Linked DNA regions of Schizosaccharomyces pombe. Changing the gene in region 1 together with any one later gene gives a genetic interaction. Each region holds a gene or a part of one and is shown in the gene's direction. Other genes may lie near its edges. The genes, in order: cul4 and mms1.

Region 1 (16,803 bases):
AGATGCTATTGGTACCAAGCGTTTTGATTCTGAAAAAGCCGGTGATCGTGAAGTCCAACGTACTATGCTGGAGCTCCTCAATCAACTCGATGGTTTTAGTAGTGATGACCGTGTCAAGGTGATTGCTGCTACAAATCGTGTAGATACGTTGGATCCGGCTCTGTTACGTTCTGGTCGTCTGGACCGAAAACTCGAATTTCCTCTTCCCAATGAAGAAGCTCGTGTTGGTATTTTACGCATTCATTCACGTAAAATGGCCATTGACGACGATATTAACTGGGAGGAGTTGGCGAGAAGTACAGATGAATATAATGGTGCCATGTTGAAGAGCGTTTGCGTTGAAGCGGGTATGATTGCTCTTCGTCAAGGTGATACTAAAATTAATCATGAACATTTTATGGATGGTATATTGGAAGTACAAATGCGCAAATCTAAGACTCTGCAATACTTTGCATAAGCGTTACTTTCTTTCATTTCTACGAGGACGGTACCGTATATATCCCGATTATCTCATTCGTCTCATCCGTCTCATCTTTCTTCTGTCTTTTTGTAAATTGGTTTTTATGATCCCATGGGAGCTTGATATTATACGCTAGTAAATATTAAGGGAAAAAAGGACCTCCCAGTGGGACAGCAAGTCAATGTACATTTGTTTACGTTGGAAGGAATCAGACGACTGTACATTTGAAAAGAGCTTTGCTCGATGTAATGATTAGCGATGTAGCTATGAAAATGTTGGAACGAATATCAATCTATGTGTTATTTAAGCTTATAAGGTTATCAATGTGTTTCTGCCACGAAACTTGAATCAACATTACTGAATTAAATCGTTTGTTTGGCACAATATCCCTAGTCGTTTTGCCCATTCTCCTCATTCGTATTAAAAAACGAAATCTTTATGTTGCAAAGATTAGGAATAACAGCGATGACTCATGAACATCCAGTATGCATTTCCTTTTTCGTTTTGGAAATATTAATAATTGGAAACCAAGTAGCTTGATTCTTAACAATTAATTCATTCGAAGCCCATCATTAACTGTATTGAACTTCATAATAGCTTTTTTAAGTTTTTCTTTGTAAACAATTCAATGTCCTATATACTTATTCTACAACTGTATGAACGCTTGATCCCAGTATATGTATCCATTTGTCAGTGGAACGATATTCAAAAGGTACTTCATTTAATGTTCAGTAAAGCCCCATCCACCTCTGACAATCTTTATAATTTATATTTGATTTGTTAAGTTAGTCTTTCCAAATCTCGAGAGCTATATTGGGGTGTCAGTTTGACTTGTAATCGTCATCATCGGTAACCGGTTGTTTCCAAGAACAAACTAGCGCCATAAAAATCACCACCATTGAGCTGGTTCACATAGACATTTTCGTCTTGAGAAAATATTCACCGAACTCCTAATTTACTGTCAATTGGCTTTTGTTTCTTGAACTAAGGCTATTGTAGTCGTGTTTGTGATACATCCGTTGGAACGGAAGTTGGTATAGTTTGGCAGCATTGCGCACTATGCCGTATATTAACAACTTTTTGGTTGGACCAATTGGTCTAGGATTAAAAAGTCTTACATGGACTGAGAATCCTGTTCCTGATGAAGAAGCGTTTCGAATTATGAACTATGCACTAAGTCATGGATGCAGTTTTTGGGACGCAGGTGAATTTTATGGGCTTTCTGAACCATTAGCCAATTTGCAACTTCTTTCAAGGTACTTTCAAAAGTTTCCCGATAGTATAGATAAGGTGTTCTTGTCAGTCAAAGGTGCGTTTGATCCTGAAACTCACCGAGTTCACGGGACACGAGAATGTATTACCAAAAGCATCAAAACTGTCCGAGAGACTCTCAAAAAAGTAAAGACTATTGATCTTTACCAATGTGCTGCAATTGATCCTGACACACCTATTGAGGAGACGATGGCTTGTTTGAAGGAGTTTGTAGATTCTGGTGACATTCGATGTATCGGTCTTTGTGAACCCTCTGTTGAGGAAATCAAGCGTGCTCATTCTGTTGTGCGGATTGCTGCAATTGAGGTCCATTATTCAATGCTCTTTCGCGAGATTGAATATAATGGGGTAAAAAAACTATGCCATGACTTGTCCATTCCTCTTGTAGCTCATTCCCCGTTGGCTCATGGTTTGCTAACAGGTCGTGTAACTACAATGGCGGACATTGAAAATTTAAAGAAGCATCATCAATGTAATGAGCAGCCTCCCTCAAGCACGTTTAGTTCGACTCTTCCTTGTATACAAGCATTGAAGGAGCTAGCTTCAAAATATGACATGTCGTTAGCAGAATTGGCCTTGAGTTTTATTTTGTCAGCCGGAAGGGGTAGAATTCTTCCCATACCATCGGCGACTAGTTATGATCTCATTGAAGCAAGCTTGGGATCATTTTCCAAGGTTTTAGATACATACCAATTTGCTGAAGTTGTTAGCTGCCTAGAAAAGACTTTACCGCCTCCAGCGTCTCCTAATTCAGAACCTCAAGTGACAGGAGGCTGTTCTAGTATGTGTTGAAAGTTAAAACCATAAACAGCACATAGCCACTGCTGCTTTGCTCAGGTTTTGTTAGGTTTGTGAAGATATTAGTAAATTTTGCTTGTTTCATATGATGCAAAGAGCAACAAAAGTTTGTGAGATGATATTGAAAGAGAGATTTGTTCTTCTATACTTATAAAACGGGAATGTGCCCGGATGTGCTTCATTTAATGAGAAGAACTGAAGAGTAACTGTTGGTGGATACGCCGTTTTAACTACTGTCAACGATCCTTTCATTTTCTATTAGTGTCATAACTTGCAAACAAAAGCGTTTCTTTTTCTTTTAAACTTCAACATTTTCGTTCTCTTGCAAATTTCTTACTACATTTCAATTTAATTGGGATTGTTGACTCGCAACACTCATTCCAAATTTCGAAATTTCTCTTTCTATGTATGTCTTATTAAAAAATTTCCTTTTCTTATATCACATCTTGTTTTTCTGTATATAACGCTATACCGACTTTTGTTTAGAAATGATATATCCATTTTTACTCTATACTGAGGTTTTATTTTTTTAATAGCATAGTAAACATCGTTTTAATAAACAGATTAATTTTTTAAGATCTAGCTATGTAGTCTTGCTCTTAGCGAAGGGTTTGTATAACAACATCAGATAAGCTCATTTAAAGTGACATTAGCACTAGCAAATTAGACATTCAATCTCTGCCAAGTTTTGCTAATTATTAGTTTAACAATTGAATTTTTTGGTAATTGACGGTGAAATATTATATTAAACATCCTGCGCCTTCATCGAGACCCAGCATATATAACCGACGTGACATTTCCACACATCTTAACAATTGCCGCACAAGTAATCATTTTTGAACAAGATGGTTTCCGATAGCAAATTGGAGCTTCCATTACCTGTAAACCAACAAAAACCTCGTAGAAGACGAATTTTAAAGGTTCATCTTTTAATTGCGGCTTTGATTCTGAGTGCGGTTGGCTATTTAGGCAAAGGCAAATGGATTTGGACTCCTGAACGAAAGGCTCACTTTGTACTAACTCATTTTCCTTTAATTGATGGGCATAATGATCTTCCAATATATCTTCGTGAAAATTATGATAATCGCCTTCTAAATATTTCGCTTGAGCACCTTCCTGGACAAACTGACATTTTTCGTCTTCGTCAAGGACATGTAGGGGGTCAATTCTGGTCTGTATTTGTCGAATGTCCTAGCTTGGATTCCAATAGTTCTCTTTCGTGGAATCGCACAGGTGAATATGAAGCTGTTACACAGACTCTTCAACAAATCGATGTTGTTAAAAGGATGGCTCTATACTACCCTAAAACATTCTCTTTGACTGATCATAGCGGTAAGGTCAAATTCGACTTTTTACGCAATCACATTTCAAGTATGATGGGCATTGAAGGTCTTCACCAGATTGCAGGAAGCCCATCCATTTTACGCCAATTCTACGATCTTGGCGTTCGCTATGCTACTCTTGCGCACAATTGTGACAACGTATTCGCCGATGCTGCGGTTGACGGAAAGCGTACTAACAAAGGATTGTCTCCTGCGGGCCGCGATATTGTCCGTGAAATGAATCGTCTTGGTATGATTGTAGATCTTTCACACACCACACCTGAGACCATGCATCAAGCCTTAGATGTATCAGTTGCTCCCGCATTTTTCTCACATAGTTCCGCTAAAGGGGTTTATGATCATCCCAGAAATGTTCCTGACGATGTTCTGATTCGCGTCAAGGAAACTGATGGCGTTGTTATGGTGAATTTTTACCCTGCATTCATTAGTCCACACCCTGAAAATGCTACAATTGATACCGTCGTTGAGCATATAATGCATATTGCCAATGTAACTGGATCGTATCGTCATATTGGCTTGGGTGGTGATTTCGATGGAATTGATATGGTGCCCAAGGGACTCGAGGATGTTTCCAAGTATCCTGATCTTTTTGTTAAATTGGCTGAGCGTGGTCTCAGTATCACTGAATTAGCAGATATTGCAGGCCGTAATGTGCTTCGTGTTTGGAAGACCACTGAAGATCTCGGGCATTCAATTCATGAGCCACCTTTGGAGTGGGAAGACGACTTTTAAACTTAATCGTTTATTAATAAGTCTACCTCTACCTCTTTATTTTATTTTTGGAAAAATTTACTGTATTATTCCATTTTGCCGGTTATGAATTTCTTACGATTAACGACAAACCATGCCTATTGCTTACTCTTTTATGCCCCTTGATGGATCGATTATTTTACTATTAGTTAACTAGCTCTCTTAGTTAATGTAATAAATTTTTGTTTGCTTTGAGATTATTTTCCACAGTATAATTTTTACGCATGTGTCCAATAATATAAAAAAGAAAAAGGAGAGTTAGTTATCCGATATGTGTTCATTAATTGGCAAATGCGAGACATAGAAAAACTCGATAAAAGACTGATGAAATTTGATTTTAACAGCACCCATAGACCCTTCAATCATCAAATAAATAAAAGAAACCACTGCATTAGCAAACATATTTTTTTAATAAATAAAAAATAACACACTTTTGAAAATCAGTTATGAATAAGCATTAAACGATCCCCTTCGATATGAAGAATGTGACCTCCTACGGTTATTATTCCCAGGCACGGGTAAGTTCCAAAAATCGAATATTTGGCCTATGCTGAGCTTCATTATCTTCTTCAACCGGAGAACCCTCACTGCTAACTGCGGCAGAAGGAGCACGCGATGGTCGACGACTGCGCGATTCGGAAACATTGTCAGATAAGAGTCCATTTCTCGTATCACTACTGCTTTCATTGTTCTCGTTGTAAAATGGAACTATACCAGGCCTGGGTATGTTATCATCCTCACTTTCACTGTCCCCAATATTAGTAAGAACTTGTTCACGACGACGGCGTTCTACACTATTTTCACGCAAATGAGATTCCGAATTTTGCCTTGAGTATCTAGGCCTATGATTCTCAATAGAACTCTCAATATGTCCAAGAGTGGGTTCCCTTTGTCTTTCGTCGTCCGGCTCATGTAAATTACGTTGAAAAGTATCATAGGAACGTCGTAAGAAACTGCGAAACTTGCGACCAAAACTTTTTGCCTTCGGATCCCCTTGAGCGAGTTTTTCATCAATTGAAGGTCCATTTGCATCTCGAGAACTGGTATGCGAAATAATGTTTCCTTGAGAATCTTCAACGACCAAGTCTTCGCCAATAAGATATGTCTCGTCACCAGGATTCATTTCTTCTTCTCTATCTTCCTCATTCGAGCGGCGAGGTTGCCGAGATTCATAGTCTTCAGAAGGAAATTCTTCAGCGTCATAGTGGCCTCCGCGTGGTGATTCAGCACGTTCTTCCCGTAGATGTGCGGCTTCAGGAAGCGAGACAGTTGATATATCAGCATCCTCATCTTCTTGAATGTTTACAGGATGACGCCTTCTTATGGAAGAAGCAATAGAGTTGGCAGAGGAGCGCAACGCATCAACTCTTTTAATTGGTAAGCTTTGTCCTTGACGAACACGAGGTAAGTTAAAAGCAAAATGAGAGTCCCTTGTTCTCGTAAACGACAAAGCCAACGTATTAATCCTTTTACCAAGCATGAAAAATGCAATACTGCTTCCATGAACAATGATAGAACTTAGAACCAGGAAACAAACTACTGGCCACATTACTTGTATGCAATACCAGTTTGGAATTTCAGGGTTTTCGATAGCATCATTAGGCTCAGGTACAGTGCTATGTACTTCTAATTCGGCTCGTGCAACCAAACAAGTATACAGTGCACCTACACCAATAGGACCAAAATGACCAGCAAAGAGAGCTTCTCGCCAATTGATAATATCAGGAACAAATGATTTAAATAATAAAACGGCAGGAATTCTCCTTGCAATTAAAATACATATAGCCAATACAACGAGTCGCCATACACTCAAATCCATATGTGGCATGTGAAATTGAGGCCAGGGCATGATAGCACCCACGTATACAAAAAAGGAAAGATTGAGAAGAAGGTCGATAACGTTGGAAACATGAGATTCTTCTGTTTTTTTCGAAAACCATGAGTCCCAAGAGAAAGCAGCACCAGCACAAAAAGAAACTAACAAATCATCGACACCAATGATGGTACCAATACCACCACAAAATAGTGCTAAAACGAAGTAGAATACAAGAAAACTTTCACGATCCATTAATCCTCGACGTTCCGAAAATTTAATCATCTTACGGGCTATTACACCTATTATTGCACCTAGCACACAGCCAAAGGTGCATTCGTATAAAATAATGATACATACCCAATCGCGGCCAGCATGTCGGGCAGGTTTCTCAATAATTAAATAAATAGCTAAATACAGAAAAGGAATTGCCATGCCATCATTACATCCAGATTCGGCCAAAAGCATGTTCCTAAGATGACCTGGGACTCGACGTGCAAATTTACCTTTACCGACAATAGAAGAAGCCAACACTGGATCTGTCGCAGTAATACATGCCGCTATAGCTAATGACTCCAGAAAAGAGAGTCTGGGAATTAAAGCATACATGAAGCCAGTACTTACTAGCCATCCAAAAATCATAACAGGCAAAAGCATAACAAACATACTGCGCCAATGTCGAAGCATATATGCTCTTGGAAGTTCAGCGCCAGCTGCAAAAACTTCGACAACTAAAAGGACTCGAGCAAGTTCCTCGGTGATGTAGTCGGTATTACCCCAGCTGGTGGGAACAAACAGTTTTGCAACGTAAGGACCAAAAATGAGACCCGTAGCAGTTGCCATAGCTATATTAAGTTAGTATGCTTCACATATATGAAGAATTGAAGAGTAAAAATAATATGGTGGAATATGCACACTGAAATATCTAGAGATCGCTCTTTATTTAACGAACGTAAACCGAAAGAATAATCTGGAATTACTACCAGCTAAATCAAACAATTCAAGTATCGTTTCAACACGCAAATCAAACAATTGTGCTTTGCAACCACTAATAACTTACTTGCTTCGCCCAAAAAAAGCTTTTCCTTAATAATTAAAGAACATAACATAAATAATGAAGTAAATCCTCCTATAATAGCATATGCTAGATGTGGTTTGGAAATCTCGACTTGACTCCATGCCATTCTCTTTCCAAGTCAACCTGACCTTGTAATTTCAAACCTATATAAACAAAAAGACAAATAAAAAACTTTATAGAAACTATAGAGAAGCTAATAGTTTACTCAAGCACCCAATTGTTTCAACAACTGGCGTTCGTTGTGGATAGTGGAGGATAAACATGGAAAACAATAGTTAGCTAATTGCAATGAGTCGCAGCTTGAAAATCTCTAAAAAACTGAAGAATTTCTAAAGTGAAAAAAAAGGCTTATTTAGTGAGATGGACACAAAAAAATAGCTTGAAAGTGAAATAGGAACTTCGTACCTTGTCTATATGTGCTGCTCTAAACCGACTTTTCTGAACGTCACTACTTGAGCACAAAATTGGTTTTTGCAGGTGAAACTATAGTAGTGAAAGAGCTCAGGCTTTCCACACATCTATTTATTACTTTTTATTTCACATTAGCACACCTATGCCTCCAGAAGCAAAACGTATCGTGGTTAAAGGCTTTGACCCACGAAAGTCGAGGCAAAGACAAGAGACCTACTATGTGACGATGATAGATCGTTTGAACATGGCTTTGCAAGTAGTGATGGCCGGTTTAGGCTTAAAAACAGGTTACCAAGAGTTATATTCGGGAGTCGAAAATTTAACAAGAGCGGATCAAGCATCTCGGTGCTTTAACATCCTACAACATCATATGTCTTCAGGAATCCAGCTTTTAAAGGATTCTGCGGAGTCTTTTATACAGCTTGAAGGGACTGAAACAGACACTAATGCATGCACCGTAGTAGTAGGGTGTTGGAACAAATGGTTGGAAAGAGTCGAGATTGTTCAAAACATATTCTATTACATGGACAAAACATTTCTTTCTCACCATCCAGATTACCCGACAATCGAAGAGCTGTCTCTGTCACTTTTTCGTGAAAAGTTGATGGCAGTCAAAAACATACAAATTCCCTTTTTGAACTCTCTTCTCCAAAGCTTTGAAAATTTACATAGCTCTAAAAGCACTGATCACGCCTATTTACAGGATGCGATGTTAATGCTACATCGCACGGAAATGTATAGCTCTGTGTTTGTTCCCATGTACTTAGTTATGCTAAGCCGTTTTTATGATACGGAGTCTAGCCAAAAAATTCAAGAGCTGCCTTTGGAAGAGTACTTGGAATATGCGATGAGTTCGCTTGAGCGGGAGGATGCCTACGTTGAAAAGTTTGATATTGTGCGCGATAAAAAGTCCATTCGAGAGACTGTTCAAAGGTGTCTAATTACTTCACATCTTGACACACTCACAAAGGGTATAAGTCAGTTCATTGAAAAAAGGGATGCCCATTCTTGTAAACTACTGTATGCATTACTGCAATTCAATCATGAAACCGAATATTTAATTCAGCCCTGGTCGGATTGCTTAGTGGACGTTGGTTTCAAGCTCGTTAACGATGAATCAAAGGATGATACTTTGGTTCAAGAGCTGTTATCGTTCCACAAATTCTTACAAGTCGTGGTGGATGAAAGTTTCCTTCATGATGAAACCCTTTCGTATGCCATGCGAAAAGCCTTCGAGACGTTCATTAATGGGGCAAAGGGATCTCAAAGAGAAGCTCCAGCTAGGCTTATTGCAAAATACATTGATTATTTGCTACGAGTTGGCGAACAGGCTTCAGGGGGTAAGCCTCTGAAAGAAGTATTTTCGGAAATTTTGGATCTTTTCCGCTACATCGCTAGTAAAGATATCTTTGAGGCGTATTACAAGCTGGACATTGCAAAACGGCTTCTCCTTAATAAATCTGCAAGTGCGCAAAATGAATTAATGCTTCTGGATATGCTTAAGAAAACCTGCGGTAGTCAGTTTACTCACTCTTTGGAGGGTATGTTTCGAGACGTTAACATTTCAAAAGAATTTACTTCTTCTTTTCGTCACTCAAAGGCTGCTCATAACCTTCATAGAGATTTGTATGTTAACGTCTTGTCCCAAGCTTACTGGCCCTCTTATCCAGAATCACATATCCGGCTTCCAGATGATATGCAACAGGATTTGGATTGTTTTGAAAAATTTTACCTTTCAAAGCAGGTTGGGAAAAAAATCAGTTGGTACGCTTCGCTAGGACATTGCATCGTAAAAGCCCGATTTCCACTGGGCAATAAGGAACTAAGTATATCGCTTTTCCAAGCCTGTGTCTTACTTCAATTCAACAATTGTTTGGGTGGAGAAGGGATTTCGTATCAAGATTTGAAAAAATCTACAGAGCTCTCTGATATCGATTTGACTCGTACATTACAGTCCTTGAGTTGTGCTCGCATTCGGCCATTAGTGATGGTTCCCAAAAGCAAAAAACCCAGTCCAGACACCATGTTTTATGTTAATGAAAAGTTTACAGATAAGTTATATCGTGTAAAAATTAACCAAATTTATTTAAAGGAAGAGCGGCAAGAAAATTCTGATGTTCAAGAACAAGTAGTGAGAGATCGACAGTTTGAGTTGCAAGCCAGTATCGTTCGAGTAATGAAACAAAAGGAAAAAATGAAGCATGACGATTTAGTTCAATACGTTATAAACAATGTTAAGGATCGGGGAATACCCTTGGTGTCTGATGTGAAAACTGCCATTGAAAAACTACTAGAGAAAGAGTATCTAGAACGCGAGGATAATGATATTTATACATATGTCACCTAATAGAGTATGCATTTGTTTTTTAATTGATTTAATTTAATTTTTCTGGTTATATGTTTATTCTTTTTCCATCCTTTTTGTTATTTGCTGGTGAATCTCCAGTGGATTTTTTTTCTCTATTCTCATATGTCGTTCATACACACACCTCTTTACCTGTCCGTGTCAAGTAATGCTATTGAAATCTGGAAACCAATTCAAGGAAGTCTGCACTGCTCTCCAATCAGTTTGGAAAAGGAACAATTCCAAAGTTCATTCTAAAATTGTACCTTGCATTTTTGCCTTCTACGAAAGTGTTCGCGCTAAGTACCGCATTTTCCAATGTAAGGATTAACATGGATGGAATGTGGTGCTGCTTATCACACTTATAGAACACCTTTATTTACAAAATCTAAAGTAAAAATTTAATAAATCTAATTAATTTTGTAAAGCCCAAGGTATTCTATTTTGGTTTTCCTGCCCATAAACACCTCTTATATTATTCATTATTTACATCTCTAAGTGACAGTGATGTGTGTGTTACTTGATGTAGATGTAGCTGAAACACGTGTTTGTTTGGATGTATTCAGAACCAACATCAAAACACTCCTATGTAAGCAATAAATTGAATAAGTTGAAGTATTTGGCGTAGGAAATTGGGACATTTAGCGTTATTGATTCTCTAAGCTTCTTGATCAGTTCTAGGTGAAAGCAAATAAACGGTATCTTCTGTTTTGTCCGTCACGAATTCCCTCATAAGAATGGAGTGACATAGTTAAAACGAGAAGGAATTTACCATTGATTCTAGTTTGCTTGATCTTCTTTGATTATATAACCTAGCTTCTCACCTACACATCTACCCCAGCATGCTTCTAACAGACTAAACACAAATCAAAAGCGATGCGCGCGCGTCCTGTCTTCATTAACGTTGTCTAAAGTGTATTACTGTATTATTAGATAACGCGGTTGGTATTTTTTGCTGTCAGATTTTGCGAGCTTGGTGTTAGATCACGTTATACGTCTCTTTATAATGACATGGCTCCTCTAGATGCAATGAGGGAATTTTCGGTTACGCCGCTGCGCATGCATAGAGTTTGTGAAAAAGTTGCACCCCACAATCCCCTGTGACCATGACTAAAGGTAGAACCTTTTTTGAGGTGAAGCAACTGTATATGAGTTTTTGAAACTATCGGTTTTGTAGGTGTTTTTGAGCGTCTCTATTTATTTACATTGCTAATCGAAGTCAAGAAACAACAATGTCCGGTATGTTGTAGCGGACGCGGCTGGAATCGCTGAATGGTCGCTCCCTCTTTCACAGAGGCGGGCCATGAATCGCTGTGCAGATACATGTCGTCAGCGTTACGGGAGTCATCATTAAAAGTCCGCAAACGGATCCGCCCGTACAATTTATCAAAATAGTCTCGCTCGTGTATTAAATTGTCGTTAAAATACCCTGTCCGACTTTGACAACTACCATTACACCTACCGCTCATTTTTTACCATTTGGCTGTACTGATTGATTACCTACAAGGATATCATATCAGCCTTTGGAAAATACGTTTTATTAAATCGACGCTTATCTGCGCAATCGTCGAGTGTATAAAAGGAGCACACTTACATAGCTGAGTACGCCGTAAGTGTTGTACTTGGTTTATTATATTTTTTTTTCTTTTTCTTTGTAGTTTGCTTCTCTTCGGAGTCACTTTAACCACCCCCTCCCAACTCAACTTAATTATTCAGTCTTTGCGGCCTCTGTTGATCCTATCCATTTCTTCAACTGACCGAATATTATTTTACCCCTGATATATTTTCTTTGTTGTTAAAATAAAGACCCATTTCTTCATCTTTTAAAAATCTCCCCTCTTAAGGCTTTTCAAGCAAACAGTTGATATCCACAATTTTTTTAACTTTCCTTGATTGTGTTTGTGGATAACTTATTACCCCCCTCTCTCTCCCCTCTTCTTTGTGTATTTTTATCACATAATAAGTTAGCATCTTTTTTTGTTTCTCTCGAAGTTTTCTAGTAGTTGCTTGTTAGTATGCTTTTTTCTCGGTCTATTCTCCGAGGAATGCCAAAGGCTGGCATTCCAAAATCTCCCTTAGCTTTATCGGCTTCTCGCAATCTTCGCCTTGCAAACAGCGTGCGCTTTGCTTCCGATGCTGCTTCTTCTCCCAAGAGCACCACAAGTAAGTGGAAGATCCTGAAACGTACTACATTAGGTCTTTTCGCTACGGCTGTTGTTCTTTATGGTGCCAATGTCTACCGTTTCCGTCATCCTGATCCTCATCAACCTTTGCCCGATCCTTCCAAAAAGACTTTGGTCGTCCTTGGTGCTGGTTGGGGTGCCACTTCTATTCTTCGTACTATTGATACTTCTCTCTTTAACGTTATCGTTGTTTCCCCTAGAAACTATTTCTTGTTCACTTCTCTTTTGCCTTCTACTGCCACTGGTTCCGTTCATACTCGAAGCATTGTACAGCCCATTCGTTATATGCTCCGTCATAAGTCCTGCTATGTTAAATTTTACGAGGCTGAATGTACAGACGTCGATGCCGACAAAAAGGTCATCCATATCAAGAAAACCACCACTGATGGAGTCGATTTAGAGCAGGAAATCAAGTATGATTATCTTGTTTGCTCTCACGGTGCTGAAACACAAACCTTCAACATTCCCGGTATCGCCGAGTATGGCTGTTTCTTGAAGGAAATTTGGGATGCCCAAAAGATTCGCGCTCGTATCCTTCATTGCCTCGAACAAGCACAGTTTAAGGATCTTCCTGCTGAAACTCGTCGCAGATATGTACATACTGTCGTAGTTGGCGGTGGTCCTACTGGTATGGAATTTGCCGGTGAAATGGCTGATTTCATTGAAGATGATCTGAAATCCTGGTATCCTGAACTTGCTGATGACTTTGCCGTTACTCTTGTCGAAGCTTTACCTTCTGTTTTGCCCATGTTTAGCGCCAAGTTACGTGATTATACCCAAAGCTTATTTGACAGCAGCCATATTAAGATCAGAACTAATACTGCCCTAAAAAAGGTCACTGCTGAAAATATCCATGTTGAAGTTAAAAACCCTGATGGAAGTAAGCAAGAAGAGGTTATCCCTTACGGATTATTGGTCTGGGCTGGTGGTAACCGTGCCCGCCCTCTTACCAAAAAGCTCATGGAGGGTAGTGAAGAGCAAAATAACAGACGTGGTTTAGTAGTCGATGAATACTTAAAATTGAAGGGTTACAAGGACATTTTCGCTCTAGGTGATTGCACTCACACCGCTTATGCTCCCACTGCTCAAGTGGCTTCACAGCAAGGTGCCTACCTCGGTCAACTTTTTAACAAACTTGGATCGTTGAACTTTGAGAAGCCTAGCGAAGATAGACACATTGCCCTCGGTGATGAAATGGATTCCAGCACACTTATCTCTTTAGCAAATGAGAAGCATGCCTCTACCAAGGTCTTCCTTCCCTTCAAATACTCTCACCAAGGTTCTCTCGCCTATGTCGGTCATGAGAAAGCTATTGCCGATATTGAAGTTCCCTGGTTTGGAAAACAACTCCATGCAAGCGGTGCTCTTGCCTTCTACTTCTGGCGTTCGGTTTACCTTTCTGAATTATACTCCTTGCGTAACCGTACCAATGTTACACTAGATTGGATTAGAGTTAAGTTATTTGGACGTGATATTTCTTCCCTTTAAATTGGATTTGATGAGACATTTTTGTGATTCGCCTGTTTGATTAATGCATGATATTTGTTGTCTTGCTTTATTCATTGGGTTTACCGAAAAATTTGGTTTTCCTTACATACCGATTAATTGATTGTTATTCGTTCGTAAACATTCAAGTTTAAGAGTATATTTATAGTTGTTTTGTAGTAGATTCTGGCACGTGTACATAATTTAAGCATCGTGCAATATTACCTTTAAATTAAATGTTCTCTACATACGTATTATCTAAATATGTTCTAGATAAACATAACGCAATTAGCAAACAATTTTATAATCAAGTTTCAAGCCGAGAAAAATCACTTTCCAATGTATGCCATATTTTTAGACTCTCCTCTTCGAGTTTAACATGCTGTTTGCAATATTCAACATAAGGATTTCCCAGACTAAATACATAGTCTTGCAAATAGGAAAGTTCCTGTTCGAGTTCATGTGCTATTTGGTACCTTTGATTTAAATTTTTCAAGTAAAGCTCTTTCTTCTAAATATTCGTTAAAACAAATTCCAAAGTGAAAAGTATATTGATTCATGCATACACTTTTAAGACTATTTTCAGCTCTCTTCTTAGAACTTCGGTTCAAAAATGTTCGATTTCTTCCACTTTCGTCGCTATTTGCTGTTTCACGAAGTAAATTCTCATCATTCGATATTGTATGCCGTACTTTCGTTAAATCGGTAGAAAATACTTCCGATATTCTTTCAATTAAAAGCTAAGGTATTAGAAAAAAAATAATGATTATACTACTTACTCGCAGTGATATTAGAATTTTAATTTCCTTTGATAGGCCAAGTAAAAATGTATGTTTGACAGCGTCGTTTTGTTGATGCAGGAGAGAATCAATGTTATAAAAGTGACCACTTGCCATTGACATAATTTTGCTTTCATTTTGAGCAAACGTAGAAGTAAACACTTGATGGTACAATCCACTATCAAGTAAGCAACTAAGAAAAGGATTAGCAAAACGTGACCAACTTGAATACTTACTTGAAAGAATTTTGCAGTCTCAGAAAATCTTCATGAAAATGCTGTAACGTAAAAATCATTTTCTCAAAGATCCTGAAGATGTTGAGCTGGTTATTTATCGCCGTAGTAGTAGACATATTCAATTTTAAAAGCCTTTCTTTAACCGTTTCTGAGGCATCGGGAACTTGACTTTGAGGTACCACTAGGAATTGTTCAATTTCTTGGTCAATTCTTTTCTGATTTTCCCTTCTCCAATTTTTGAAGACCTAAATTCATGAGAGCAATTAGTTAAATCTATAAGGAATAAAACTTACATTTGGCTCTGTAAAAAATACTCGGACAACCTCATCATTGGAGAAAATAGGATGATGAGATAAGTCATTTACAAAGTCGGACAATCCTGGCGGCGGTGTTCTAAAAAACTGTTTTGAGTTGAAGCATTTCGCTTCGCAACTGACATATATTAGCATTGTTGGGATTGAAAAGGATGATTAACTATGCATACAGTGAAATTTCTTTAGCGCTAAAAGAATTAGTAAGTTAAAAGCCGTAAATTGAAAAAAAAAAAAAAACTAAAAAAACTCTTACGTATTAATGGTACTCTTCTAAAAGGATATTTTTTCATCAAGTAAGAATGTAGCCTTTCGAACTAGTTAGAAGAAAGAAAGAGAAAAGGAAAATAACTGTATGGAAAAGATATCCAAACAATTCGGAGAGCTTACCAAAAGAAATCACTGTATCGACGAAGAACTTCACGAGTGTTAGAAGAATCAGATATAATATAATTATTATGGCGATAGAAAAAGTAACCACTAGGCTCAAGGTCAATGTCAACATTCATTTCCAAACTAGCGGGAAATGAAGTTGAACTGGAAGCCAATCTAAACGAACTATGTCTACTGTTTGACAGTAACGGCTGAGTGGAAGGGGAAAGGCGATTAGGAATCTTCGAAAAGGGCTTTCTAGGGGTAATAGCATTATCATCGACAGAAGAATCAACGGAAAATTTTGGAGGTTGTTGCGAATGTAAGTTACCTGCTTCTAAAGTCGAAGGTGCAATGCTGCTGACAGTTGAAGAAGGATAGGAAAAGAATCCTTTCGGCTGCTTTTGAATATCAGGAAACGAACGGATGATGCTTTGCTGAGCGTGAGGGAGGGATTTATTGGAGACGTCGTCATCCTCTTGTTCTAAAATTTTTGATTCATTAATGGAAGGGACAATGTTGGATGAAAGATTCAAGGCGGTTGTTGAAGCAGGAGGAGAATTATTAGGAAAAAGAGGGGTTTCATTATCAGAACTACGATTGAAAAGTTCCGGATTAAAACGCTGCAAAATGGGCAGGACTAAGGAGGAGGAAGTAAGCAAAAAGACAAAAAAAAGCAAAGATAAAAAAAAGCCTTACCATTTCTTTGCTTGAAAATCTGTTCCAATGTGCTAGGAACACCTAATTGATAACAGGCAACCAAGGCAAGCAAAACGAAAAACTGAATTTGCCGTAAGGGTTGATTGCTTGATGATTCAATCAAGGTAAAGAACTCTTTCATTACATCTTGAGGAACATGAAATATATCAGAATAACTTTCTTCTTCTGGAAATAAGAGAACATTGTTTGCTTGAAACACGTCCCAATAATTTCGATATTGCAAAGGAATGGATGAATTACCTATAGACAAAAAAAAGAAAAAGAAAAAGGTTAGCATCATTACAGTAAGTAAGTAAAAAAGCAAGAAAGATGAAAAAAAAAAAAATCAAGCTAAAGAAACAAATCAATGATAGAATGCATCGATCCGTAAAATTAACTATTAATTGAGAAGGAAAAAACAGAAGAACAAAACTTTTACTAACCAATTGCTGTTTTATAATTTAAAGGC
Region 2 (17,623 bases), 2.9 Mb from region 1:
GCCTCCACTTCAAATACGGAGGCAACTACAATTGCTTGAAAGGAAATTATCAAGTTATCAATACTTCTAATAATGTCTTCCTCTCCTCCAGCTTTAAAGAAATTTCGAAAACGCAGCCCAAAATCATGTTTAATTTGTAGGCGCCGCAAGGTCAAATGCGACCGTCAGCAGCCTTGCTCTCGATGTAAAGAAAGGAACGAGGTTTGCACTTACGCAGATGATACCATTGATAAAATGAACGTCGGACCACATCCTAGTCATAGCGAAAATGCTTCTGATTCTGAAACCACACTGGAAGTTTCTCCCGATATTAATCCGAAAAAAAATGAGAAATTTGATTTTTATGGATGGAGATCACTCTTTGAGTTGATTAAATATAGAAAGGATAGCGACATGTGCTCATCTCGACCTTCGTTTTCAATTCAGGCTTACAGTAGCTATAAAGATAATGTGGTTGTTGAGAGTTTGGCGAACCTTTTACCGCCATTTTGCATATCACAGAAAATTGTTAATTTATTTTTTAAAACACTAAATGTTGTCTGTCCTATTTATGATCAAGAGACAGTAGAAAAAAGCTTAAACAACATTGAATCACCAGAATCTTTTTCGTACGAAGATGCCTTCACTTTATTACCAATTATTGCTGCAACTATCCAGCTGAGCGATTTGCCTGATGTTATTCTCAATTTTTATAATTCGGCGGGGATTACTCCATTGGAATCCAGCCGTCTTATAAATTTAAAACTTAACGAGATATCCGAGCAGGAATATAAACATTTATGCTTGCCTGATAAAGAAATAATTCAGATGCTGCTTTTGCGAGCGTATGCAACAAAATTTCGCACAAGAATAAGAGGAGTGAATACTGACTTATGTAGAAGCATTCACGTATCAACCTTAGTAACTCCCCTCTTCCAAGTTACGGAAAAAATAGGAAAAAATACGTCAGATTTGTGGTTTGCTCTCTGTGAAATTGATGGTTTGGAATGTGTATTAAAGTACCGTCCGCCATTCATTCAACACGACACTTATGGTCGTCTCAAGCCGCTTCGTTGTTTTTTTAATGACGATATTAGCTACAATTTTCATCTACTTCTTGGAAGGTTACTTGATTGTGGTGTTTCAATCTATAAATCTGTTCATTCACTCACCGTTAGTAAATTCATTGATAAACTGGAGAGTTATGAATCACAGCTTTCGCTTATTTTGGTAGATATAGAAGCAAAGTTTTATGACCCTTCTAATGAAGATATTCAATTTCGATACATATTTTTGAAAATGGTGTTCTGGACTGCACGTGTGAATTTGTATCAATGTTTTATTACCCTGGATTCAGGGATTTTAGAAGATGAAGAAACTATTATTGGTAATTTGGGTGAAAGTTGTATTCAGTGCGTGAGGCTACTCATATCTCAAATCACTATATTAGAAAAACGAGGCTGGCTTTTGGTAGCGTTGTTGGAGATTATCCACGCCCTCATGTTGGCTGCGTTTTGCCGTGATAAAGGCTTTGAGGTGCCTTCTGACTTAGGTGACATAACATTATATGTACAAGAAAGAATGGTTGATATCGTAACATTTGATGATGGCATGGCTGTCCGATTTGGATATGTTTTAAGATTCATCAACAGTATGTTACACCCAAATGAACCGCCTATGCAAGATGCAGAACCTGAAACCACGGAGGATCCCTCTAAATTATTCGCTGACATTTTTGATTTTACTTCAAATTACTTTATACCGTCCGCCCTTCTTGATCAGTGACCTAAACGAGCACTTTGTAATTTTTTTGTTTGTATGATTGATTAAATTTCGATTAATGTTCCAAAGTGGTTCTAATGTCAAATTTATCTGCTCTTTTAATGACTCTCGTTTTTTAATGTAACTATTTTTGGTTCAATATAGACCATTTAGGAATTAACTTTCTTACTATCCTTCTATAAAGTTGTCTTTCAAATACAATTTTTTCAACAAAACTGCCTTTTCCAAACAGAATATGTTTAACTAAAATATGTGATTTCAAGTAATTAAAAAACGTTTAAAAAGTTTAGTGATATAAAACTCTCGCTAGTACTTTCAAATGAAAATGCATTACGCTGCGCAATGGTTCTATACAGGTTATGGTTGGTAAATTGGATGAATAGATTTTGCAACAATTATCAATTACATGTGTATAACCAAAATATTCTGCCTATTTAGACTGTGTAGTTCAGACTTGGTTAGATTTGGTAATTAGGGAATAATACGCATTTCCAAATTTGTAACATTACTATACCTATTACCTTTGACACTCAGTTACCTGTTCAAAACAACCGCCCCTTTTTCTGTTGCATAGAGAATGAGTTCTTCGTATGTACTGAAGTATAATACTTTTTAAAAAAATAACTAATATGAATAGAAATCCACGGGGAATTCCACCCGCTCAATTTTTTGAGTTCAAAGAGTTATCTATGGAGGAAGCTCAAGGTCATCTCGAAAAGTTCCAAGAAGCAATTGCGTAAGGATATATATGTTATTTCATATTAATATAATGTAATTTAGAAAGTACAAATTCATGGAGACTAGTGTGGTCAGGAGAGTTGCTAGTTTGGATGACAAAATTCCTGACATTCGAAAAACGTTACAGAGTGTTCAGTTCTTGAAAGAGCGACAAGGTGACTCTTTTACTGTTACATATGAACTAAATGACACATTAAATGCAAAAGCAGAAGTAGAAGCTAAAGACAATGTCTACCTTTGGTTAGGTGCAAATGTTATGCTTGAGTATACGGTTGAAGAGGCAGAAGCATTGTTAACGCAGAAGCTGAACTCAGCGGAAGAAACATTGAAAGCATGTAAAGAAGATTTGGAATTTTTGAGAGCTCAAGTCACTACAATGGAAGTGAATACAGCTCGCGTGTATAACTATACAGTTTTGCTTAGGAAAAAAACAAAAATGTAGTTAGTCAAAGCTGCTTAATTTCTTTATAAATGTTTCCAAAATATATTATCATTTTAACACATTTGCTTATCCTTAATGTCTCTTTAGTGTGTGTAACAAATGATAGAAAAAACTATATTATTATAACAATATTCTTATTTTAGAAACGTATAACCAACATTTGTATAAAAACGCTTTACAGAATAAAAAAGGATTACATTAATGCTCCGTTCTGGATTTTCGTGCAAACAAGCAATAAACTAAATGAATAAAACAAGCCTTCTCACACACATTTCAAACCAAATTTAAAATTATGTCAAACGATTTAAATCACAACAAATAAGGAAAATGAAATTCTAAATGTGTTCCTTTCACAACAGTTGACAGTGTAAGAAGCTGGATAAAAGAGTTCTTTATTAACGGAAATGATAAAAAAACGACAAATACCTATACATCACACTGGAAGATACCCGGCCTAATCGCTGTTAAGAGTTTCGAAAAGGAAGTGGAGACCAAAAGCGGTATTAATACCAAAATAGCTTCCTTCAAAATTAGTGATACAAATTAATTTTACAAATTGTAAAGAATGACTCAATGGATGTCAGATTAACAGTTAAAAAACACAATGAACAACATCATTCCAATACCACTATGAATCAAACCGATTCTAGTCAATGTATCATGTAGCTTTTGGAAATATATTCTTAAAGCACGTTGATTTAAGGAAGATGACTTGCATCAAAGATGGAGGAAGTGGTACTGGCAGGACGATCAATCAAATCAGCAGCAGGACTAGGTAACGGCTCAGGTGATGATGAACCCACGGACCATTCATGATCGGTGTTAGCAAGTTCCATATTGTTAAGACCACTCATGAAGGCTACTGCATTAGGGTTTTGAGTAAAAGAATCCCTTCCAAGTAAGTATGGGCTGCCGGTACGAGCCAAGGAGTTGCTGGTTTTTTCGGAAAGACCATGACCGTGGATAACAAACTCGTATTCCCAACGAAGGATTTTACCAGTTTGCAACTGTGGGAGGCGTAGCTTTTGAGCAAAAACGAAGCATATAATAGCTAAACACATACCGCCGACCAAATCTACAAAGTAGTGGTGGGTAAGGTACATAGTACACCAGCAAAGCCATAGAACATATCCATAAAAGCAGAAGCGGTATCGAGGAAACACATGCGAAAGGAAAAGTGCTTCCAGCATGGCCCATCCAGCGTGAAGAGATGGAAAGGCACCAAAAACAACCGGAGAGTTAGAAAAACCATCAGTGTAAATGCTAGTGCCGAAGAGAGCATCAATACGGGCCAATCCACCAGGAGAGCCACGTACTGCATACGTGGCAGGTTCTAAACCATACATATTTTCATACCAAGGAGGAGAACAGGGGAAAGCCATTTGGATAAGAACACCAAATAAATTCATATAACCAAAAGTTCGAGCCCAAACTGGAAGAGTTCCAGGAGGTGCAAAGATGAAAAGAATAAATGAAATGATAAAAGGAGCCGAATAATGCATGACTCCATATGGAACCCAGGCCAAAATATCAAGGATGCTATGCGTGGTTTTCGAGAGAAGACTAGAAAGATTAGAGCCATAAAGAATATTTTCAAGTGTGGGTAAAACACGAACCCATATGGGTGGACGCCAGCGTTCTGGAATAAACCTACAAGAGTAAAATAAAATTGCCCAGGTGATGATAACAATGGCAGGAAAAAAAATTTGGCGTGTTAAAGGAACGGTCAACGCAATGGCCAAAAGACAGGCAATGCCAAATTTCCCCCAGAATCCAGGAGATTCAATGACAATACAAGCAAAAATCAAATTACCTGCTAGAAACACATATTGCAAATGTGTCCATGACCATTTCGTATTGCGTAGCAAACGAAATGTAGGCATAGGGTTTAAGCTTGTTTCCAACTTGTATTGGGATGCTCGGTTACACGCAGCAAGGCGCTTTTTTAAGGTCGAAAGAGCAGACATTGCTTCAAAGAATTATCAGAGTAAAAAAGGGAAGCGTACGAAAAAAATTTCGTAAGGAATTAACCGGAAAACTAAAGGAAAAAAAAGGAATTTTTATGAAGGAAAGAAAGTAGCTATTAAATGCAAGTGTCAAGCACTTAAAAGTAGCGATGTAAAATATTTAAAAAAAGATGGACCGATTAACCAATGTTCAGCTCACAGTTGCCAGCAATCAGGGCTATTTTTTTATTTTTTTTATAAAATTGCTAATTATATATAATATAATTAGTTTATTAACTTGCTTTTCCTCAAAAAACCAATTCGAGAAAGGAACTTTTGCAGAGGCAAAAAAGCTTCTCCGAAAGAGATACTAGTTTAAAAACCTTTGGTTGCAAATACAAACCAAAATACTCCAATTTAACTATACAATTGGAGTTAGTCGATTTCAATTGCCCCGTATAAATGGTTCTTTAGAGGTTGGTAGTGGCGAGCTGAGAATGGTACGGTCGGCTAGTATTTGTTTAGGTTTGGCAAGTGGTGTTACTGTAGCGCAACACAAGATAGCCTAGCGAAAACAACGTTATTTCGAAACTCTAGGTAATTGGAAGATATTCCTTCTCAGGTAACACTATTCGGCAACGGCAGCCAATAAAATATTTGAAAGCTAAGACTCGTTATTAAACAATAAGACACTAAGCTCCATATATAATTACCGTATCCAAGTTTACTGCACGGAAATGAGAAAGCGGAAAGTAAATCAGAAACAATTTTAGCGAAATAAAATATGAATTTCGATATAATAAGATAAAAACATTGCGGTTGAGGGTAGTATCAGATGAAGCAAATATATTATTGTAACTAAATACCTTAAGCGCATCTAGGACACGTACTTAAGCATGGGTCTATATATTCAATAACTTAGCAATGTTACGAAATATTTAGGAGGAATAGTTTTATGCACTCTTTAATACTTCAAATTTTACTTCCGTCTATATCTGTTGAATTAAGCATTCAAAATGACAATTGACAACATTAAAACAATGTAAATCTATTTGGAAGTACTAATTTTTGTTTTCGATTTCTTAATTAGGAAAACAAAAAGTGCCTACTTGCATTTTCACAGCCTTTTTCTTTGGATTCTGAATGTATACATTAGCACCCTGTTGATAATTCTTTCACGTAGGTAAAAAAGACATCATTAAGCTATTGATTTTAAATGGCCGTAGAAAATTCAAACTGTCGTAGGTCAGACAACACTTCTCTAAAGATGAAACCAAATCGTATATTTGTTAACTAGAAATCAAAATCATATATCGCATATTAATTGTTATCTTAATTTTTGTGTTCCTTAGGTTCTCGAAATTCCAACGATGGATATTCTTACATACATTCAACACAACCCAACATATTAACTCGAACAAGCCATGGTTGGTTGTCAATAATCCTTTCACATTTGGAGGAACTCGTAAGGATCTATCTTCTAAATAAGGGCGTTATATATATTTAAACCTGTACATATCTATTTTCATTGATTTTAATGTTTTTTCCGTATTTGCTAATTTCTTTGATGCATACGATTAACTAATAGCTTTTTCTATTCTATCAAAATTTGACTCTAATCAAATTAAATTGGTTCCAAGCGTTTAACTTTGTGAATTCATGGCAGAAATTATTCATCATTCAAACGTATTCACCTGGGCTTTTCATGTTTCCGAATATGATGGTGCTCCTCTCCTTTTACTTGGATCTTTTTCCTCTGTAGCTTCTGTGAGTTTAAAGCGATCTGGTGATTTACTACTTTTTGAAAGATTCACGTTGCCTGCAAGAACGAGGTCTGTTGCTTTGTTATCAAGCCATTTCCTTCAGTCAGAATCAGGTAGACATTCAATAGCGAATATTTTAATTGCTACTGAAAACGGAAAATGCTACTTGTTGCAGCTCGTCAAAACACCAGAAAAAGCGTTTCCGACGATTCGTATTAGAGATGAATTCGTTCTTGATACTCGAATGTACAACCATGAACAATTAGGAAAATCAATTGATTTATGCCCAAATGCTTCCTTGTGGGCTACTAATTCTTTTGCTGGTGATATTGTATTTTTCTTTTCACATCATCCTTCCTTAAGCAAGCAAGTCTTCGCTCAACTTTCTATCGATGGAATAATACTTCATACCATATTTGTACCTCCAAAAAGATCCTCTTCGTCTTGTGTTACGTATGTTTGTCTTTTTCTAGATTCAAATTCGAATCCTAGAATCAATGTTTATAGGTGGTCTAAGACGGAAACCTTTTCTGATGCTAGTTCTTACATAACCTTCTCAATACCGGTTCCATCCGAATTTTCTCTTGCTTCCCATATTATCCCTTGCTCCAATATTCCTGATCATTTTTTAGTATTATTGGAGACAAAGATTTGTCTGCTTTCTGTCCCACAGATAGAATGTGGGGATCTAAAATTTTTACAGACCGATCTTCCATGCAGCGGTTCACATAATTATCCATTGTCTATTGCAAATGATAACGAAACTCCGAATTGTTGCTATTTAACCTACGAAAATGGAGATTTGTATCGCATTCGTTACTCTATTTTGTCTATTGATATTAATTTAATTGGAAAGACTGGATCTTCTTTAGGAAATTTGATACTACCTTGTTATCCATACATTGTTTTTTGTGGTGACTGTTCTGATACATTAGTGTATGATGTTTCGGTATCGCCTATGTCCTTTTTTGGTAGCTTAATTGCTTGCGCTCCAATGTGGGATTTTGTGTATTCCTCATCAAGGCATAACACTTTGTTGGATGAAGACATCAATTGTAATACAGTTTATGCTACTGCTGGCATTGGTAAATCTGGGTGTTTGGTCACAATGCGTTACGGGTGCTCATCCACTACTTTGCTTGAAGCAATATTAACTGAGGGAGCTGTTTTATCAGGAATTATAAATTCTAACCACAACTCTGAATTTTACGCTTGGCTAACTTATCCTTGGCAAACACAAATTTTAAGGCTTCATCTCGATGGGGTCGTCGAAGATGTTACCGAAAGTCTTTTTTTGGATGATATAAAAGCTTTATATGTTATAAATTACCAAAATACGTTTATCATTATTACGGGAAAATCCATTTATGCTGTTACTCCTAGTTGTACAAAGTATAACCTTCTTGAGGTTTCAGGAGATGAAGAATTTGTTTTGGCTGCTTATAACGAATTAATTTTCATCGTTAAAAAAGATTTAATGAATTTCAAAAGTCAATTGCTTACACTAAAACTAAATACTCTTTCTAATGGTACACTTGAACTTCAGTCGCTTCCGGATTCCTTCGATCTACACGATGTCCCTACTTGTATTACTTCCTTTTCTTTGGAAAGAAAGCTACTGGTGATACTGGTTCATCCTTCACCTTATTTTGAATGCGTTTTCTATGATGAAACCTCACACTCTAGTGTCTATAAAGTCCCCTTAACAGGTTTTCAATTTGGATACCTTCCTCATAGCATATCGTATTTGAGAAAATCAAACCGCGCTGTTTATGTATTGATTTCATCCAACTCTACTCTTTTAACCGTCTATGTAACTCTAACGTTAGAGGGAGTACCGGATTTTAAAGTTTACTCTAATCCTATTTCAACAGACTTACCACTCACGTTACAGTCACCCTCCGATGAGTTTTCAACAATTTATGCATGGTCTGACTATTTGTATATAGTGGGTATCGATATGGAAACTGAACAACCTACGCTGAACCAGATACTTGAAGTAAATGACAGTTTTACTTGTGTTTCTGGTATTTACGATATTCCAAATAAGTTCCAGAACAGTGAATCAAGAATCATAGTGTATTATTCGAATAATACTTTGTACCTATCGGAACTTTGGCTTCCACAGCGAACCTTTTCTTCAAAACTAAATCTTGCAGCAACTCCCAAGAGATTACTTGTTGATAAATATACGAACACTTTAATCATTGGATGTTGTCACGTTTTAGTAAATGAAATTACAACCTCAGGTCTTGCTTTTTACGACTTGACTAAGTGAGTTACGTGTTTCTAGTGCCTACTAACAATTACACAGCTCGCGACTTTTCCCTGTCAATTGGCCTTCAATGGATATTAAAGGTAAACCAATATTCAAACCGGAGGAATTATTATATTCTATGTCTTGTAAGTTAGCTTTACTTTAATCACCTAACGATTATTTAGTTTGGATTGTAGCCGACGATCAAAAAAGAAAATATAGGTACCTTTGTATAGGAACAGGGGTACGAAAAAACGGATTAACTACAGGTCGTTTGTTAATTCTTACCATGAATAAAGATCATGACAGCAATGCTATAGAACTTCGCAATGTCATCACAATTAATATGAAAGACCCTATTTATTCCGTTTGTTCGATCGGAAAACATGGATTGTGTTATGCAACAGGACGAAAGATTGGTGTAAAGATGTTGGACTTAGACTCAAAGAAGTTTTGCAACAGTGATTGTGAGTTACCTGTTCGGTCTCCCATTGTATCGATGTCAACGTATAAGGACTATGTGTACACTTCTAGTTTAAGAGATTCTGTTGCCGTGTTCCAGTATGATAGTGAAAACAACTCCCTTAATTTAGTTTGCAGCGACACATCATCGAGACTAGGCATTGATTGCTTTTACATTTCACAAAAAAAATTATTGTTTTCTTGTGACAAAGACCGGTTATTAACTTGTTTCAAAGTTGAGGGTGAAGTTTGCACGTCTACCAGAGAACAAATGCTCCAGCCAATTCTTACTACAGTGTCTCAAACAAAAACAAATGCCTTAACTAACCATTTAAAGTATTCAGTTATTCGGGTGGATAAAGATAATCATAATATTGTTTGGGGATTGATGGGTTGTACTTTAGATGGGAATATCTTCAAGATCTTAATGCCTAACGATCCGACTTCGTCGGATACAATTATCTATTCTGATACTTAATGTTATCACACATTAGAAATTCCAATTTACAACAATAAATTTATCAGAGCAATACTAATGAACAATTTTTGGATGGTTTTAAATGACGTAGATAAGCAAAGAGTATAATATTAAATTAATTTAATATAAACTTGGAACGCATGAATGTTAATTTTCATTAAAAAAGAGTTATATAAGTCAATAAATCTTTACATGTCAGCAGTAAAAAGTTGGCTAGCTATCGACAACTTTCTGACAGCAGTGTTTCATTCACAATCTTCGTGTTCCCATATAACCCGCCTAAAGATTGCTGGACAAAAATAATTCTTTGAGAGTCATAAAGGTAATGGTGTCCTGCAGAAGTGCAAATAATTTGTAACTGTAATCCAAACTTTAAATGACTTAAAATTTTCCCACTTTTATCGTCTAGTTGCTGAAGATAATGTTTCTGGCGAATCCAGGTTTTAGAGCAATCAACCATACTTGAAACATTATAAGGCACCAAAAAAACTTTAATGACTAAACCGTTAGTTTGTCGAAGTATTAGTTGTAATTGCCCAACTGATGGAATTCTATATCCGAATGGATAGCCTTTATTCATGACTTTGTCGCTTTTTTGACTTCTCAGTCGAAATCGACCGATATAAGGAAATTGCACATTATCAACATTTCCAACGAGTGAGTAAGCCACAAAATTTATTTTTAAATGTGGCGGGAAAACAAGTGAAGGCTTGCATCGGCAAAACGAAATAACCCCAATTTCTATGGAAAACTCAAAAGGTACTGATGAACAGTAAGGCATGTGACCACTAAACAAACTCTCCTCGTATGATCCTATAAAACCACTCCTTTGAAAGCAGTTCTTCAATGAATAGGTATTTATACCTTTGGCGTTAAGAGAATGTTCAGCAGAAGCATCAATTGGTTGTTGTTGAGTTATATAATCACCAGACAATAATTTATTACAACGACATGAACATCTCGTGAACAGATGAGGCCCATTTGAAGGTTTAACAGATTTCTCATTGTTAAAAATTTCGAATTTCAATGGAGAATTACAGAGAAAGTGGTTGTTCGCCTTACTATTACCAGGAAAGTTTGAAAAAAAGTCTTTCATCTGACTTATCGATTTCAAATTCATCCATTCTTGTTCGATTGGAAAACTCCTGCTAGTAGAGAACAAGTTTCGAATATTTTTGTATAGCAATTCATTATTTTCAAGAGACGTTGATGTCGCACAATAACAAGCTGGCATTAATAAAAAAGAAAAAGAAAAGGAATAAAAGGCTTTCGATAATCGAATACAAATGAATGCGGTTTGTTCGCATTCAAGGAAAGTAAGGTATTAATGTCAAGAAAAAACAAAACAAAAAATTCAACACGGAAATAAAGTGCCTTATATCGTGTCAATGCTTAACCACTTTTTGATAAACGAAAAAAAAATAACAAAAAAAACAGAAAATCATTAAATCATGGATAACCGTAAGTATTTTTCGAGAAAGCCTCAGTTCACTAAAGAAAATATAATTCCCAACATTAAGAGTTATTCAGCTTATAATCACCAATAAAAAAGGGATAAACTACAAGGAATTTTCTTCTCGTGAATAATTAATTCATAAGCAAATTGTAAATCAACGTCTTCAGAACAAAGCAAAAATTTTAAAAGCTAAAAATGTTTGTCAAAATATTCCTATCACAGACAAATCCAAGTTCAATTCAAAAATAATGAAAAAGTCGTTGAGATTTCAGGATTATAAGTATGTGTGAAGGGAAAGGTAAAGAACAGTCCATGGGCGTATGACGCAGATATATAGATTATGTTTGAAGGTATGTTTTCGATATAGCATTTAATATTTGTCAATTTACAAACTATACAATATTGAGAAAAGAATTTTTAATTTAGTTATATACCCTAATAGCCTTAAACGTATTCTGTCTATAACTACAGTCAAAAAATAAAAACACCGGAGTTTCGATATATATATTATAATTTCCTTTAAGCGTTTATAAATTCAACAAAACAAACGAATAGGTAGCAAAAAAAAGATTGTATTTAGCATTTGGACGCCTCACATTAAGCAGATGTTTGAATTTCTTTTTACGCAAGTACCTCTTGAATGTTTCTACTGAAGCTCGAATAACTATTTATTTAAAGGTAGTTAAGGAAAACCATCACAAAAGATGCATTTTTTCCATTGTCAAGTTTGAAAACCACGTATGATGAGAAGAAATGAATCGAGATTAATTATTTGCAACAGCTGTGTTTTATTTGACATTATCACCGCTGTAACAAGGAGATGAAGTAAAAGTAATATGCTAAAAAGCCAAATTGATATATATGCTCGAGAGTTTTATGTTGATAAAAAGCAACTTTATCATTCCTTTGAAAGAAGGATACGTACATACATAGTAACAATCTAAAAAAGGAAAAATTCTAGGAACTTAAAAACCTTGGTCTTGTAACCATTCACGAACTGTGACTATGTGATTTCCCTTTAGGACAACTTGATTTGTTAACTTGTTTACATAAACATCTTTCGGTGACATTTTAAGTGTGGAAATGAGCCTGAGCCGCAAAGCCTATTGATAAAATATTGTTAGAAAAAAAAAAGAGAACGAATAAAAGAAGTTAAAATAAACTTGGGTTGGCCGTTAAAGCAAAAAGTTGATAGAACAATTTCCGCAGCATAGTGACTTTACTTGTACTTTCTTTAGCCAAGAGATTACTGCTGACGGAATATGTATACTTACATTAGAATCACCATGGATTTTACGAATTAAAGTCAGAATTTTCGTTCCTCGTTGTTTGTAGTCTAGATAGACTGGGAGATTTTTTGAAGGTGTACGTGAAACATGAAACCGAAGTGATTCGGATGCAATTGTTGAGTTGAACCTCAAATTTGATAGCACTGGCTTTAAGGATGATCGCATTTGGTTCAACAAAACTTTCTACGAGTTGCAGGAATTTATGGTGGATGTGTAAAAGAAGTCGTCGTGCATTCGCGAATAAAGAGGATTTCTATCATAACCTCCAAAAATTTGTAAGTTTTAAACAACTGTCAAACAGGAGCCTAAGATTAAGTGATTCACTAAGAACAATTAAAATAAAATAAAACGCTCTTGTTTTAAATAAATTTAATCGGTGCTTGAACCTCACGCGTGTTTAAACTCGAAAGTATTTTTACGGCACGGAATATACTTCAGCGAAGGTGCATACTCATTAAATTAATACTATATTTTGGAGTAGGCATTTAGGTGTTCAGCTTGTTGTTTTTTTTAATTTCGAACCGCTTTCCTACAATAAAATAAAAAATAATAATAAATAGCAAGAAATCTAAGTTAATTTGCAAATAAAACTGATCATTGATTCTAATAAAGACAAAATGGATGGATAAGTATTGCGACCAACAACTTCAATGAAAAGCCATAAGACCTAAAAAAAGTTATCCCTTTCTAGATGATTTTAAGTGCATTAAAGAGAGTGCTAAAAAATTAAAGCGATAAGGAAATGGTAAAACGAAAAGGGGTGTAAAAATCAACGTAGGAAAGAGATTTCATATGTAACTAATTGATATAAAAGATCTTGAAAGTTATGCATTAATAGATGATACAATCATATTTTGAGCCAGCATCTTATTTAGAATAACACGGGAAAGTACAATTAGTCAGTATACGGGAGTATAGGCAAGGGGAAGGATTACAATGTAAAATAGCAGGAATATTGAAAGTTACGACCGACTAAGTTGCCGAGCTAGTAACTTCTACCATTGATTCTTTGACATCTCCATTTGTAGGTTGAGAAAGAAGCAAAGTATGGGAAGTTTGAGGAGCAATTAGGCCCATGCGGTCGTAAACTGAGCGTGCGCGGATGTATTTATCCAAGTTCCAGTATGCATCAATAAGTTGTGAAGCTAACTTACGACGTTTTTGTTTCACTTCTGCCATGTCACCATTGTTCAAAATCCAATCCATTGTAACTTCCTCGTACTGTTTAGCAATTGCATCCTTTTTTGCTCTAAGACTCTTACGAGCTTCAACATTCTTCAGAGCTTCTGCTTCGTTTTGACAGGGTTCTGGATATGTATATCTCCATGGATTAGGCCCACCGAATTCTTTTAAAATATTGTCAGGATTTATATATTGTTGCAAATCACGATAATTACGAGTGAATTTAACCTTTGAGACAACCACTGGATCAAGCCAAGATTTGATGATGGACCAAACGCCTTGGAAAAGCCAAGGCGCTTTGTGTACAATACATTCACCCAGACATTCGGGATAGTGTGCTTCAAAACACTTGATCATGAATTTCAATGGCCCATAGTCCATATTGGACATACTGAAATCAGTCATATCAAAAACAACAGTAGCAGTTTCAATAGGAGGTTTGAGAATTAAACGAGCAGTTTCCATGACCCAAACTGTGAGTCGCTCAACCGATTCGGGTGAGACATCACCAACTTTATGAAGACGTGCGCGAATATAACAAACTGGACGATTGTGTTTATCTTCACCGAATATAAAACACTTTCCGATTCTTAGTTGACGCACAAAATCATCATCTTTATCAAGGTGGTCAGCGTTACATACAATTTCACCAACATTCATCTCTCTACTTCTCCAGTGAACGGTTTTCATGAACATTTCCAACGCAGCCTCAACGTTCCATTTTCGAGCACGAAGGAAACGAAGTAGAAGGCCATCAGGATCATCACAATTAACAGCATCCCAAAAGCAAACTCTAAGCCCTTCCGGGTCCCATTCACTTGCAATTTTTTCAACTCTTTCCAAATGCACATTTTTGGTTTTATCATTAAAACTGCGAGTGTCCGAGCCATGAGATGAAGACGTTAGTTCAAGTCGTGTACGGGATTTCGCATATGAGACGCTGCTTAAACGATGTGATGAGGAACTACTTGAATCATCAGATAAGTGTGTCTTCACTGTGTACCAAGATTCAGTTCTTTCGAGTAAAGTAATGCCGAAGAGCTTAAACAAATAACTCCACATAGTCTTCAACTTCTCTTCTTCAAGTTCTGTGAGATTCCACGGTCTACCGGCTCCTTCAGGCATATTTAATAAGTAAATTGCGCGCAAACAAATATAATCTAGAAAAAGTCCAAGGAAAAAATATATCAGATGAAATCAATATTAATAAAATTGAACTCAATTGAGAAGGAAATTACGAGAATAAGCCTAAAGAATGGAGGTTAATCTCGAAGATATATAATAATTTGAAAAATTGGCAAAGATAGACAAAAGAATGTGACGAGTCAAAAATACACTAGCCGTCAATTTGCTTCCTTTTGGTCAGAGATGCGAAACAAGCTCACTGAAAAACAAAACGTAATGCTTGTAGTAGAAAACAAAATAATATAGGGAACTTAGTTAACCGAATGAATGAATAAAAAAGAAGAATCACTCGACAAAAACTGAGTTGGTATTTTAAAAAAAAAGATAAAAAATTCCTCAGAGGACTATAAGTGGGCCTGAGAAAAAGCGTGAAATAATAACAAAGGGAGAGGAGCTCAATAATTTCTAATTCACCTTAATGTATATCAAAGTGATATATTAATGAATATGCAACGCACAGAAGGAAATGGATTTTTTTATGAAAGCAAAACGTAATAAAATAAAAAGTCACCTACAACTTTTTAAACGGATTTAGATTAATTACCTATTGGAGGCACAAAACGCGTCACAAAAATTAATGCAAAGACAAAGCCGTTCAAAAAGCAAAGAAAAGAAAACAGAGCTTTGAGAACATTCACGCGTTTAACACTTTTGAGAAATGACGGGGAAATTTTTAGGATGCTAAAAAGCGGAATTTTAAGACTTCCTGGTTTAATTACTTTAGCCAAAGAAGTGATCTAAGCTTTATAATTATTAGTAGTCGGTATTTTAGGAATCACTAGTATGCCGAAATTACGAAACTAACCGATCAACACAGCCTCTTCCTATACTTACACAATTCTTGGAATTAGTAGCAAGAATTAAAAGAAAAAGCCAACGAATATTAACCAAAATATATTTTTTCAAGGTACCAAACGCCACGAAATGCAGCTTACCTTCCTATGCGAAAGAATAGAGCGCTGAAGTATGGTGTGGTGTAGAGTGTCAAAGTCAGAAGCTGCGTTGCAGAACCATTTATAAACAACAACGCAAACCGTTCGTCCGTTGCTGTGATAGAGTGATACATAATATCAGTCAATTGCCTTTACCCGCTACATTACCTAGGAAATCGTAATAAACGAGCGTTATAATTTCATTACGTTACAAAACCACTGTATTAAATAGTAGAATCACCCAATTTTTGTAAAACTAATAAATTCTTAGCATATCACAATGTGAATGGAACGGTAGCTCCTATGTAAGAAATAAGAATGTTAAAGTTGGCTTTTAAGCAGTTTAGCAATTTTTCTGCGAAACTAGTAAGTAGATGCAAGGAAACTGGTTTCCACATTGTTTGGATTAACTCTACCTTTTCATTCATTGCTTCCAAGGTATTGTTTGTTTACGTACACCCTAACTTGACTTGAAAAATTTTAAACTAAAAAGTTGCTTTAAACATAAATTTAATAACTAATCATTATACTAAAAGACTATATGAATTGAATGGGCTTATCATAAAAAACATATAAATCAAAGGAAACTTTGTTTGCCAATTCCACTCTCAATAGCTTGCTCATTGCTTATTGATCTTAGACGTCAACTTGGCTTGCTCAACTAGGACACGAGGTGCATCCAACATAGGCATTACAAGCTCAACTACTTGAATGACATCTGCATTTGCAAACTCCTTGTCGCTAAACAACTTTTCAACGTCAGTAGGAGTTTTAACACAGTAAGTGCGGAAGTGGTTTTCAGCAGCTCCGAAAAACTTGGGAATCTGTTGGTAGCCCCATTTAGTGTTAATTTCGTTATAGCTAGCATGCAAACCATGAATTAAACGCTCAATGGTGTAACCGTCGTTGTTAATTATGAAAATAATTGGTTTGAGGTTATGGCGAATGCAGGTTGAAATCTCTGTAATCGTCAGTTGTAAGGATCCATCACCTACTACAAGAATGGTACGACGATCGGGCTCTTTAGAATCGTGGACGGCCAAAACAGCACCAAACATTGCACCAACGGAGTATCCAATAGATCCCCATAATACCTGGGAAATGGCTGTTACATCCTTTGGAAACCTGCAATCAAGGACACCAAAGTTTGCAGTTCCAGTCTCGGTGATCAAAACATCTCGGGGCTTCAAAAATTCACTAAATTTAGGCCAAAACCAGCAATGAGTAATCTCGTTGGAAGAATATCCTTCCGCATGCTTAGGCTTGATGTTGTAGCCAATGGTAGGAGCAGCCTTGGAATGACACATAGAAGCATCAAGTACTTTCAACAGTTTGCGAAGAATATACTTCATGGCTACATTTGGATAAAGAGCATATCGAATGCGCATGTGGTCTGAATGAAACTCAACGGCATTCTTTTGGCTGAGGTGGTAAGAGAAGGAACCCGTGTTAAAGTCTGATTTGAGAGCACCGATGGATAGCAACAGATCAGTGGATTCAATTCTGTCTTTAACTTCAGGATCTGAAATTGAACCAACATAAACGCCGTCAAAAAATTGCGAAGTTTCGTCAATTGCAGATTTACCCATGGGAGTTACATATGTAGGGAAATGGGTCAATTTAATCAGCTCATGTACTTCTGGAACGACACGATGTCTTACAGCACAAGCGTCAATTAAAATCACTGGTTTCTTTGCATTGACAACCATTTCCGAGATATGATTGATGACTT

Evidence for each region.
Region 2: mutations in cul4 (region 1) and mms1 impair growth when combined (synthetic growth defect), as found in Schizosaccharomyces pombe (one study listed by BioGRID).

What each region holds. Positions count from the first base shown.
Region 1 is NC_003424.3:3,444,989-3,461,791, forward strand, and holds cul4 (CLRC complex subunit, cullin 4), read left to right. Parts: upstream 1-7,956; 5' UTR 7,957-8,067; coding exon 8,068-10,272; 3' UTR 10,273-10,759; downstream 10,760-16,803. Other genes in the region: proteasome regulatory subunit Rpt5, read left to right, coding at 1-457; SPOM_SPAC3A11.11C (pyridoxal reductase), read left to right, coding at 1,520-2,524; dpe1 (dipeptidyl peptidase), read left to right, coding at 3,376-4,605; nde1 (NADH dehydrogenase), read left to right, coding at 12,285-13,940. UniProt on the Schizosaccharomyces pombe protein: Required, indirectly, for activation of ribonucleotide reductase through the degradation of the protein spd1, thereby supplying deoxyribonucleotides for DNA replication and repair. Also has a role as a scaffold for assembling ubiquitin ligases.
Region 2 is NC_003424.3:586,201-603,823, reverse strand, and holds mms1 (E3 ubiquitin ligase complex subunit Mms1), read left to right. Parts: upstream 1-6,297; 5' UTR 6,298-6,546; coding exon 6,547-8,924; exon of another isoform or gene 8,925-8,964; coding exon 8,965-9,053; exon of another isoform or gene 9,054-9,092; coding exon 9,093-9,847; 3' UTR 9,848-9,923; downstream 9,924-17,623. Other genes in the region: SPOM_SPAC3H8.08C (transcription factor), read left to right, coding at 73-1,764; prefoldin subunit Pfd3, read left to right, coding at 2,339-2,349, 2,399-2,497, 2,542-2,941; inositol phosphorylceramide synthase Aur1, read right to left, coding at 3,640-4,908; SPOM_SPAC3H8.04 (chromosome segregation protein), read right to left, coding at 10,065-11,081; img2 (mitochondrial 54S ribosomal protein mL49), read right to left, coding at 12,269-12,406, 12,578-12,757; csr102 (sec14 cytosolic factor family phosphatidylinositol transporter), read right to left, coding at 13,565-14,899; pdc202 (pyruvate decarboxylase), read right to left, coding at 16,512-17,623.